Danio rerio: one gene and its partner. The protein of the gene in region 2 purifies or fractionates together with the protein of the main gene of each other region. This does not show direct contact. Links are inferred from orthologs where the notes say so. Each region holds a gene or a part of one and is shown on either strand. Other genes may lie near its edges. The genes, in order: sf3b1 and zrsr2.

Evidence for each region.
Region 1: the proteins of zrsr2 (region 2) and sf3b1 purify together in Homo sapiens (affinity purification with mass spectrometry; 3 studies listed by BioGRID and IntAct, counting the BioPlex papers as one, with this or other methods). This does not show direct contact. The link is inferred for Danio rerio from reciprocal best matches to the Homo sapiens genes ZRSR2 and SF3B1.

What each region holds. Positions count from the first base shown.
Region 1 is NC_133184.1:33,850,633-33,854,457, forward strand, and holds part of sf3b1 (splicing factor 3B subunit 1), read right to left. Parts: intron 2,531-3,825; exon of another isoform or gene 2,473-2,530; intron 1,925-2,472; exon of another isoform or gene 1,870-1,924; intron 1,572-1,869; coding exon 1,492-1,571; intron 1,396-1,491; coding exon 1,210-1,395; intron 723-1,209; coding exon 473-722; intron 389-472; coding exon 176-388; intron 81-175; coding exon 1-80. UniProt on the Homo sapiens protein: Component of the 17S U2 SnRNP complex of the spliceosome, a large ribonucleoprotein complex that removes introns from transcribed pre-mRNAs.
Region 2 is NC_133186.1:13,227,164-13,230,988, forward strand, and holds part of zrsr2 (U2 small nuclear ribonucleoprotein auxiliary factor 35 kDa subunit-related protein 2), read right to left. Parts: coding exon 3,784-3,825; exon of another isoform or gene 3,744-3,783; intron 3,604-3,743; exon of another isoform or gene 3,560-3,603; intron 3,432-3,559; exon of another isoform or gene 3,370-3,431; coding exon 3,331-3,369; intron 3,246-3,330; coding exon 3,130-3,245; intron 1,960-3,129; coding exon 1,746-1,959; intron 1,561-1,745; coding exon 1,505-1,560; intron 1,415-1,504; coding exon 1,305-1,414; intron 1-1,304. UniProt on the Homo sapiens protein: Pre-mRNA-binding protein required for splicing of both U2- and U12-type introns. Selectively interacts with the 3'-splice site of U2- and U12-type pre-mRNAs and promotes different steps in U2 and U12 intron splicing.

The DNA of each region.
Region 1 (3,825 bases), on a different chromosome or scaffold from region 2:
CAATGGACGGTTCCTTTCATCAATCTCCCGCTCCCACCGCCAAGCCTGCAGCTGTTCTGGAGTCATGCTCATCAGGTGACCTGCAAACATTTAAACCTTTAAAGCAACTTCCACAAAACAACAATTATTTAAATTACAAACTAAACTAAGCTAAACAACAGCACTGGTCATGTACCTGGAGTGGGCGTGGCCATATTCATAGCAGGTGTACCCAGAGGGGTTTTTCCAGGGGTGAGCAGGGGAGTTGAAGAGCCCATTTGGCTGGCTGGTGTTTCATCCCATCTTGACTTCCTCTTGCTTGCACCTGGAGTGGGCGTCTCACCCACCGACTCGTCTCCTCTGTCTGTACGTGGGGTTTCAGCCCAGCCACTGCCATGACCAGGTGTTTCTGAAACGGACAAAACAAAGGGTTTAAAAACCACTCTATTTGCAGATTACACATCAAACTAGACAAAAAAAAACTATTAAAGACCTCTCTCTGTCTTTGGTGTCTCATCCCAGCGGTTCTTGCGCACACTGGAAGTGGCCCCTCCATGGCCTGGCGTAGCATGTCCAGGTGTGTCTCGGCCTGGTGTGGCAGCTCCTGCTGGGGTGTGGCTAGGTGTGGGTTCCCACATACGAGTGCTAGGAGTGGCTCCTGGGGTTTCACTACCTTTGGGACGGCCAGGGGTCTCATCCCAACGACTGTTGGAGGGTGTGTGCCCTGGTGTGTGTCCTGGTGTCTAAGTAACAAAATAAAAATCTCACAGCATTATAAAAATTCTTAAGTGGCATTGTAATGCTTTATTTCTAATCCATGGCTCTTAATCAGGAGGACACAGACAAATTAGGGGGATTCTACAAACATCCAAAGGGGCCTGATCATTACTTTACTAGAGAAATTCACCCCTAAACAATAGTTTTCCTCACTGGAGAACATGGGTCCCGTAGGGTCCTCAAGACTTTTCCTAAACAACTTTTTGAATTATACTATAATTTCGAATTATACTACACAAATAAAAAGCAATAGTTTTTTTTTTGTATTATAGGATATTTACACATTTACTTTTTTGTATATCAGCATCTACTTAAATATTGACTTTTTCATAGTCTTCCAAGCAGATCAGATACATAAAATCTGTCTTTGTATGAATTTGTAATTATTTTTCATGAAAATCTGAACAATCAAAATATCCATTTGCTGCAGACCAAATGTTGTTATCGACTCACTTCAGAACCTCCGTCTGCTTGGTCCCAACTGGACACTTTTTTGGGTGTTGAGTTGCTGGGGGTTTGATCAGCAGTCTGGTCCCAGCGACGTTTACGTTTGGCCGCGGCCTGAGATGCAGCGGAGCCATTCACTGCTTTCAGCTCTCCAGCTTTTGCTTTCTCTACCATCTGTAGTCTGATCTCTCTCTGTAAACCAAGAGAAACAGTGACAGTTTAAGACACTTGTGACTTTTTTTTTTCAGTAGCATCTTACAGACATTTCACCAAAGTGCTAGAACTTACCTCTTCTTTGGAAAGTTGCTGCTCCTTCATAACATCCATGTACGTCCTGACCTGCACCTTGGGATCCGGTGTTTTACCCCCTAGGCGAAAGAGCACCAACAAGATGCGAAACGGTCAGCCAAGTGCATCTCAAAACCAGCATTTTCACACACAAAGCACTACAGTCAAGTGTCCCTGAATAGATGGCCTTTAATGTTTAAATTACTGTCCTCTCATAACACAAAAGAACCCTATGCAATAAAAGCTAAGCACTCATTACAGTCAAACATTAAGAACAGGCAGGTACAAAGAGGTTTCTGTTGCTTTTAAGAGGAGATAAGGAGAGGATATAGCCATCACTGATGCAGGGTCCTGGGCTGTGCTCTCCAGAATACGTACACTTTCAGTGCCAAGGGTCCCTCTGCAGTCAGACTTCAACCGGCAGAAAAGAAGCCTAGAAAATTTCTCTTTACCATTAGTAACACTTTGGAAAAGGGTTTGTACTCACACACAAAATAGCATACCACCTATTCTGCTCGTCACTCATTTACAAACAAGAAAAGGGGAAAACCATGTAGTATTCAAAAACCGACTTAAAAATCATATACATTTAATAAACTATAGGTGTTACAGTCAAAGACACTGAACACATTGGGGAGTTCTAATCAAATCAGAAAAGAAACAAAATATCAGAAACTAATCAATGACTTAAAGCACACTTGTGTGCATCTGGTTAGATTAAATAAAATTTAAACTAAGATGAATTTGTCTAAAAGTAAGTTGAAATGAAAAAAGTGAATATGGAATTTAAAAAAAGTCCCCGATGAGGCTTTAAAAATAATGTGAAACATAACAAAAGTAAAACTAAATCAATAAAATAGCTTGATGAAATCATGGTGCATTCCCCCGAAAGGCTCTCTGGCCTCACATCAGAGCAAAAACTACTAACTATGGTCTTGATTTATCTGATAAACACGCTTCTTTTTGTTGACCATAACCTACACAGGACGAGTTGCTGCACCCTTAAGAGAGTGCAGACAGGACTGGCATAGCAGTACTGCTGTAGGAGAGAAATTAAGGACAGTTAGTATGGGCCTGTGGAATCTTGGTACACAGATTCTTCAATAGATATATCTCTATTTTATCATTATAAAATAGAAATATATTTACACAACAGTTTTTGTAAAGCTTCCTCTGTCTGGGACTACATGCAAGATGATTTGCCTGATCCAGAATTATTGCCCTCCCATAATTTGGTCCCAAGTGAGTCAGTTTTGTGAGTGTGCAGCCTGTTTAAACATGATCTAAACTTCTTGTAAAATTGTACTGGTATGAGCACCCACAGGCCATCGGTTTTAAGATACTAAATTATCTGGACAACATAAATGGAGTTAAATTTGGCTTCACAGGGCTTTAAAGCTCCACTCTTATTGGGAATCATTACTGACATTGACACATCAGGGGTGTCTAACCATTGAAAAATATGCAGGCAATAGTATGGGGGGAAAAATAAATCTGACAGTATGCTGTCTCTGGCAATTAGAAACTTTTCATATACTACACAGTGTCTGTGTTTAAGTTGCCTGACTACTGTATCATCTGTTTCACACATTAAAAACATTAACCCTTCGAACAACACACCTACCTGCAACCTATGCCATGATGGGACCAATGACACCACCCAACCGTCTCCCAAAATCTTTGCTGCCCAACTTAAACAAGTACACATATAAATCCATCATCAATATTTTTCAGTACATTTCATTTATCCACTTATGCCTTACTGAGACAGTCTTAAAAGGGATATTTCACCCAAAAATTATGTTTTGAATGACTTGTTTCAAACCTTTATTTTGAAAAACATTAGAAACCTGCAACCCTTGACTTACATAGTGTTTGTTTTTCCAACTATGGAAGTCAATGGTTACAGATTCTCAGCTTTCTTCAAAATATCATCTTGTGTGTTCTAGAGAAAAAAAATCTTTGAAACCTCTTGAGGGTGAGTAAATAGTAAGAAAGTTTTCATTTTGGCGTGAACTATCCCTTTAAGGCCCTGATATTGCTTAAATGAAATTGAAGAACAAAGAACTCAAAACTACTTTCGAATAAAATCTTAAGTTCGTTTGAAGTTGCAACACTGGCACTGTTGTTTGTCACGTTTAATACTGTAAAGCCGCTTCCTTTAAAATGATTTAATGTATAAACAGATATACAGTAAATCTTTTGATTGAACTGTAAATCCCATATAAATATCCTCATTATTAGATGCTGTATTCTTAATTCTATAATTTATATTTATTTTGTTAAACGTGCAGTACACCATATATTATTATAAAGAGTGGCCTGAGTGGTTTA
Region 2 (3,825 bases):
GAGCAAGCATGATGTCGACTTAAACTTTGTCATACACCACACCCACCAAAAAGGGTACCCTTTGTGGTGGAAACGCATGCCTGATAAAGGTGACCTGTACTGTACTGTACCAGTCAGTGGAAACGAGCCACTAGACGCGCAGCTGAACGCTATTGGTTTACAGAGATACGTCATTCGTTTACTCAACAAGCCAGAATAAAAACAAAAGAGCCGACATGTTTAAAATACACAGCCGAGAGATTTGTTACAGCGTGAACGTATATATACATAAAACAATGAGCCATGGTCGACCTGCGCTCAAACAAACCTTGTCGTTGTTTTGATGCACAGCCACAATGCCAAAAAAAAAGAGCAGATTTACCATGTGCCCTGTAGTTTTTTTTACGAGACAGTCTGAACCGTGAGTGGTTTCACTTGCCTGCTTGCGCTCACCACACATCTATATCTGAAACAACAAACTTCTTGAGCTAATGATAACAACGTGTGCTTGATTATTGACATGCTTTTTAAACCCGATCCTGTCAGAAACTGACAAACGCGAGAGTGAAGCCGGAAAAAAAGGAGCACATCATTTTTCAGCAAACGTGACCAAACTGCCATGTTTAACTATTATCATTACCTTTTGGACTAATATAACCTCGGAATCATGGAATTACTATCTAACAGAGGCTACATGTGCTGCTGGAGATTAAAGATACTGATGAGAGGTTTTCACTGACTGTAGGCTATATTTTGTTTTGTTTTTGAACCTAAATAAGCACTAAATGTCTGCTGTGTGTAGTTCTTCTGTAGTTGGTAACATTTCGGAGACTGTAAGGGGCTGTATGTGTTCATATATGTGGCATTTATTTATTTAATATAATTGCAGACGTTACAGTAGGCTATTTCGCACTGTCATTGATCAAATCCTGTTTATAGAAAAGTTAGCAATAAACATTTATACACAAGTATTTATGTGTAAAAAGCGTCTGCTTTCATATGATTCGTGAACGACCTGTTCAGCTGTATTATAGACATTTTCTCGAGCGAAAATTACATCGACTGAAACTGTCATACACCACACCCACCAAAAGGGTACCCTTTTTAGTGTAAACGCAAGCCTGATAAAGATGACCCGTACCGACCTAAACCGTACCGTACTGTACCAATCAGTGGAAACGAGTCATAAAATGTTGAATTCAACACAAACTACAATTAATAAATGCCTAAATATTGTTTAATATTCATGTTTTTATGTAAATTCATGTAAATACATTAACTAATGGAACCTTATTGTAAGTGTGACTTACTAATATTTTCCTTACCACATATGGCCGTTTTCCATCTAGTCACAGGGGAGAATTCACATTGCAGTTGTCTTCCAGCATACCAGCGACCATTAAACATCACAAAAGCTTCTTTGCATTGCTCCTCTCTGCAGGATATAAACAAAGATATCCAAATATACGTACATTTATAAATCTGCTGTCAAAAAAAATCTCCAAAATAATAATGCTGAACTTACGTCTCATACTGAACGTAAACGTTTCCTCTTAAGTGAGGCTCAAAGTTGCAGCTCACCTATTAAAATATGGCCAAATAATAATCATTGTCAATTTAATTTTACAAAAATATACATATTTATTTACATTTCTGCAGCTGATAGAATAAAAAATACGACTTTCATACGAGATAAATCTAAAGAAACATCTAAATAAAGAGAGATTTTATTTGTTGAAGGTTTTTCAGGCTTTTATTTGAGTTACCTTGAACTGCACCACTCTCCCTGCGTTCTTGAACTCTGGCAGAGCGTCTTCATAGAAATCCAGAAACTGCTGGTGCAACTCCTCCTCACTGTACTCCAGACTGGCATCGGTGTCGTAGTCATCACGTCTGCTCTGCTCCATCCCGAATGACACAAACATCCCCCTCACCATCAGAGTGCAGCTGGATGCTGGGTGGTCATGTTTTCGAGAGCACCTGTTTATTAAAGAGTATTAAAAAAAGTCATCATCTTAAACGGATAGTTCCCCTAAAACTAGTATTGTATATTATTACAATGACAAATAGGTGTTTGTGCTATATTACAGGGGTTCTCAACTGGTTTGACCATGGAACCCAAATTTTTACATGGTCATCAAGCCACGAACCAAATTTTTAGGAACTATAATACAATTTTAGGAATTATAATTAATTTTTAATTATTTGTTAAAATACACATGTAGTGACAGATAAATCATAAGAAAATCACAAAGGCTTACAAATAAACAATATTTTGCTTTCATTTAACAAAATGGATCAAATTATAGAAATATTACAAAGTAAAAACGACAAATACTGTGGTTAGGGTAAGGAAAGGTTCAGTTACCATGAACTAAACTAAACTGTTAATAAAAAATTTCTGGTTTCTAAACGTCATCTTAATTTAAAAGGTTTCATGCTCTCTTGTGAGAGCACCTCGCTACTTATGACACACTGAGGCTTTAAGTCTTTTTTGTCCTCAATATATGTATTTTTGACATATTTGTTGCTATATTTAAATGAAATTTCACGTCAAACGATAGGGTTATCATGCACGCATTTCAAAATAAAAGTCAAAATAAGTTAAAAACTTTATTTTTGTTGTTTTTTTTTTTCCACACACTCCGCGACCCACTGAAAATGATCCCGCGACCCGACCCACCAGTTGAGAAACACTGCTATATTACATTAGAAAGTTTGTCATTAGATTAGAACTTGTGAGGGAGGCTATTGAGCAACACTTTTCAAAAGGTTTCCATTAGTTAACGTTACATAATGTATTTACTAACATGAATGAACAATACATTTATTGCAGGATTTATCCAAAACTGAAAATTCTCTTGTTTACTTGTTCCACACTGGTTTAAGTTTCTTTTTTCTGTTGAACAAACACACAAAAAAAAGATTTTGAAGAAAGCTGAAAACCTTTTGACTTCCATAGTATGAAAACGTAATACTATGGAAGTCAATGGTTATAAGAATTCAGCTTTCTTCAAAATATTATTTTTTGTGTTCAACAGAATAAAGAACCACTTTCATTTTTGGGTGAACTATCCGTCATAATCCTGACCAGGAAATTTCATTTCGACTGTCAACACTTTGTGATATAGTCGTGTAATAAATAATTACCGGTCTCCAAATCTACAAGCACCAGTTTTTAGGAAGAATGGACAGTTTGCCTTGTCCTTTTCAGTTCCGTAATCCTTTGGAGCATCTGGGTTTTTCCAGGGTCCCCCATTTTCCAGCTAAATGCAACAAAAGATAGCTTTTCATGAGAAGAGCAAATACAAAACTTGCATTTTTTTATCATAACAAGAATCAAGAAGTTACCTGACTCTCTGCTTGATCCAGCATTTTCTGTACTGCTTCCTATAAATGGTGCAAACATACACAGTATGGCGGGTGAAATTCTGTGGTGTGCAAGTACATGTCTGTTAGAACTGGTTAAGACAATCTGGCAGATCATTTGTACAGCATTTTGTAATATTTTACAGCGAATATGTTCTCTGCTGTGGAATCAGTAAGCAATCTCATTACTACAAATGACATGAAAAGATACGTTCTTCATTGGGAGTCGACACTTGCTTCATATATAGCATTTTTGTGAATCTTAGTTAAGGAAACGAAGACAAAATTTTGCATAAATTCACACAATGTACATATAAAACAGATATATGGCATGTGTGGGTGCATGTAAAATCATGATCAACAAGTCTTTATGTTTGATTTCTGATAGAGGATATGTAGACATCAGCATCTTTATCCTCCCAGTGCAGAGATCACCTCTCTTTCTCTCTTCTCCTGCTCCTTGTGCTCCCGCTCCTC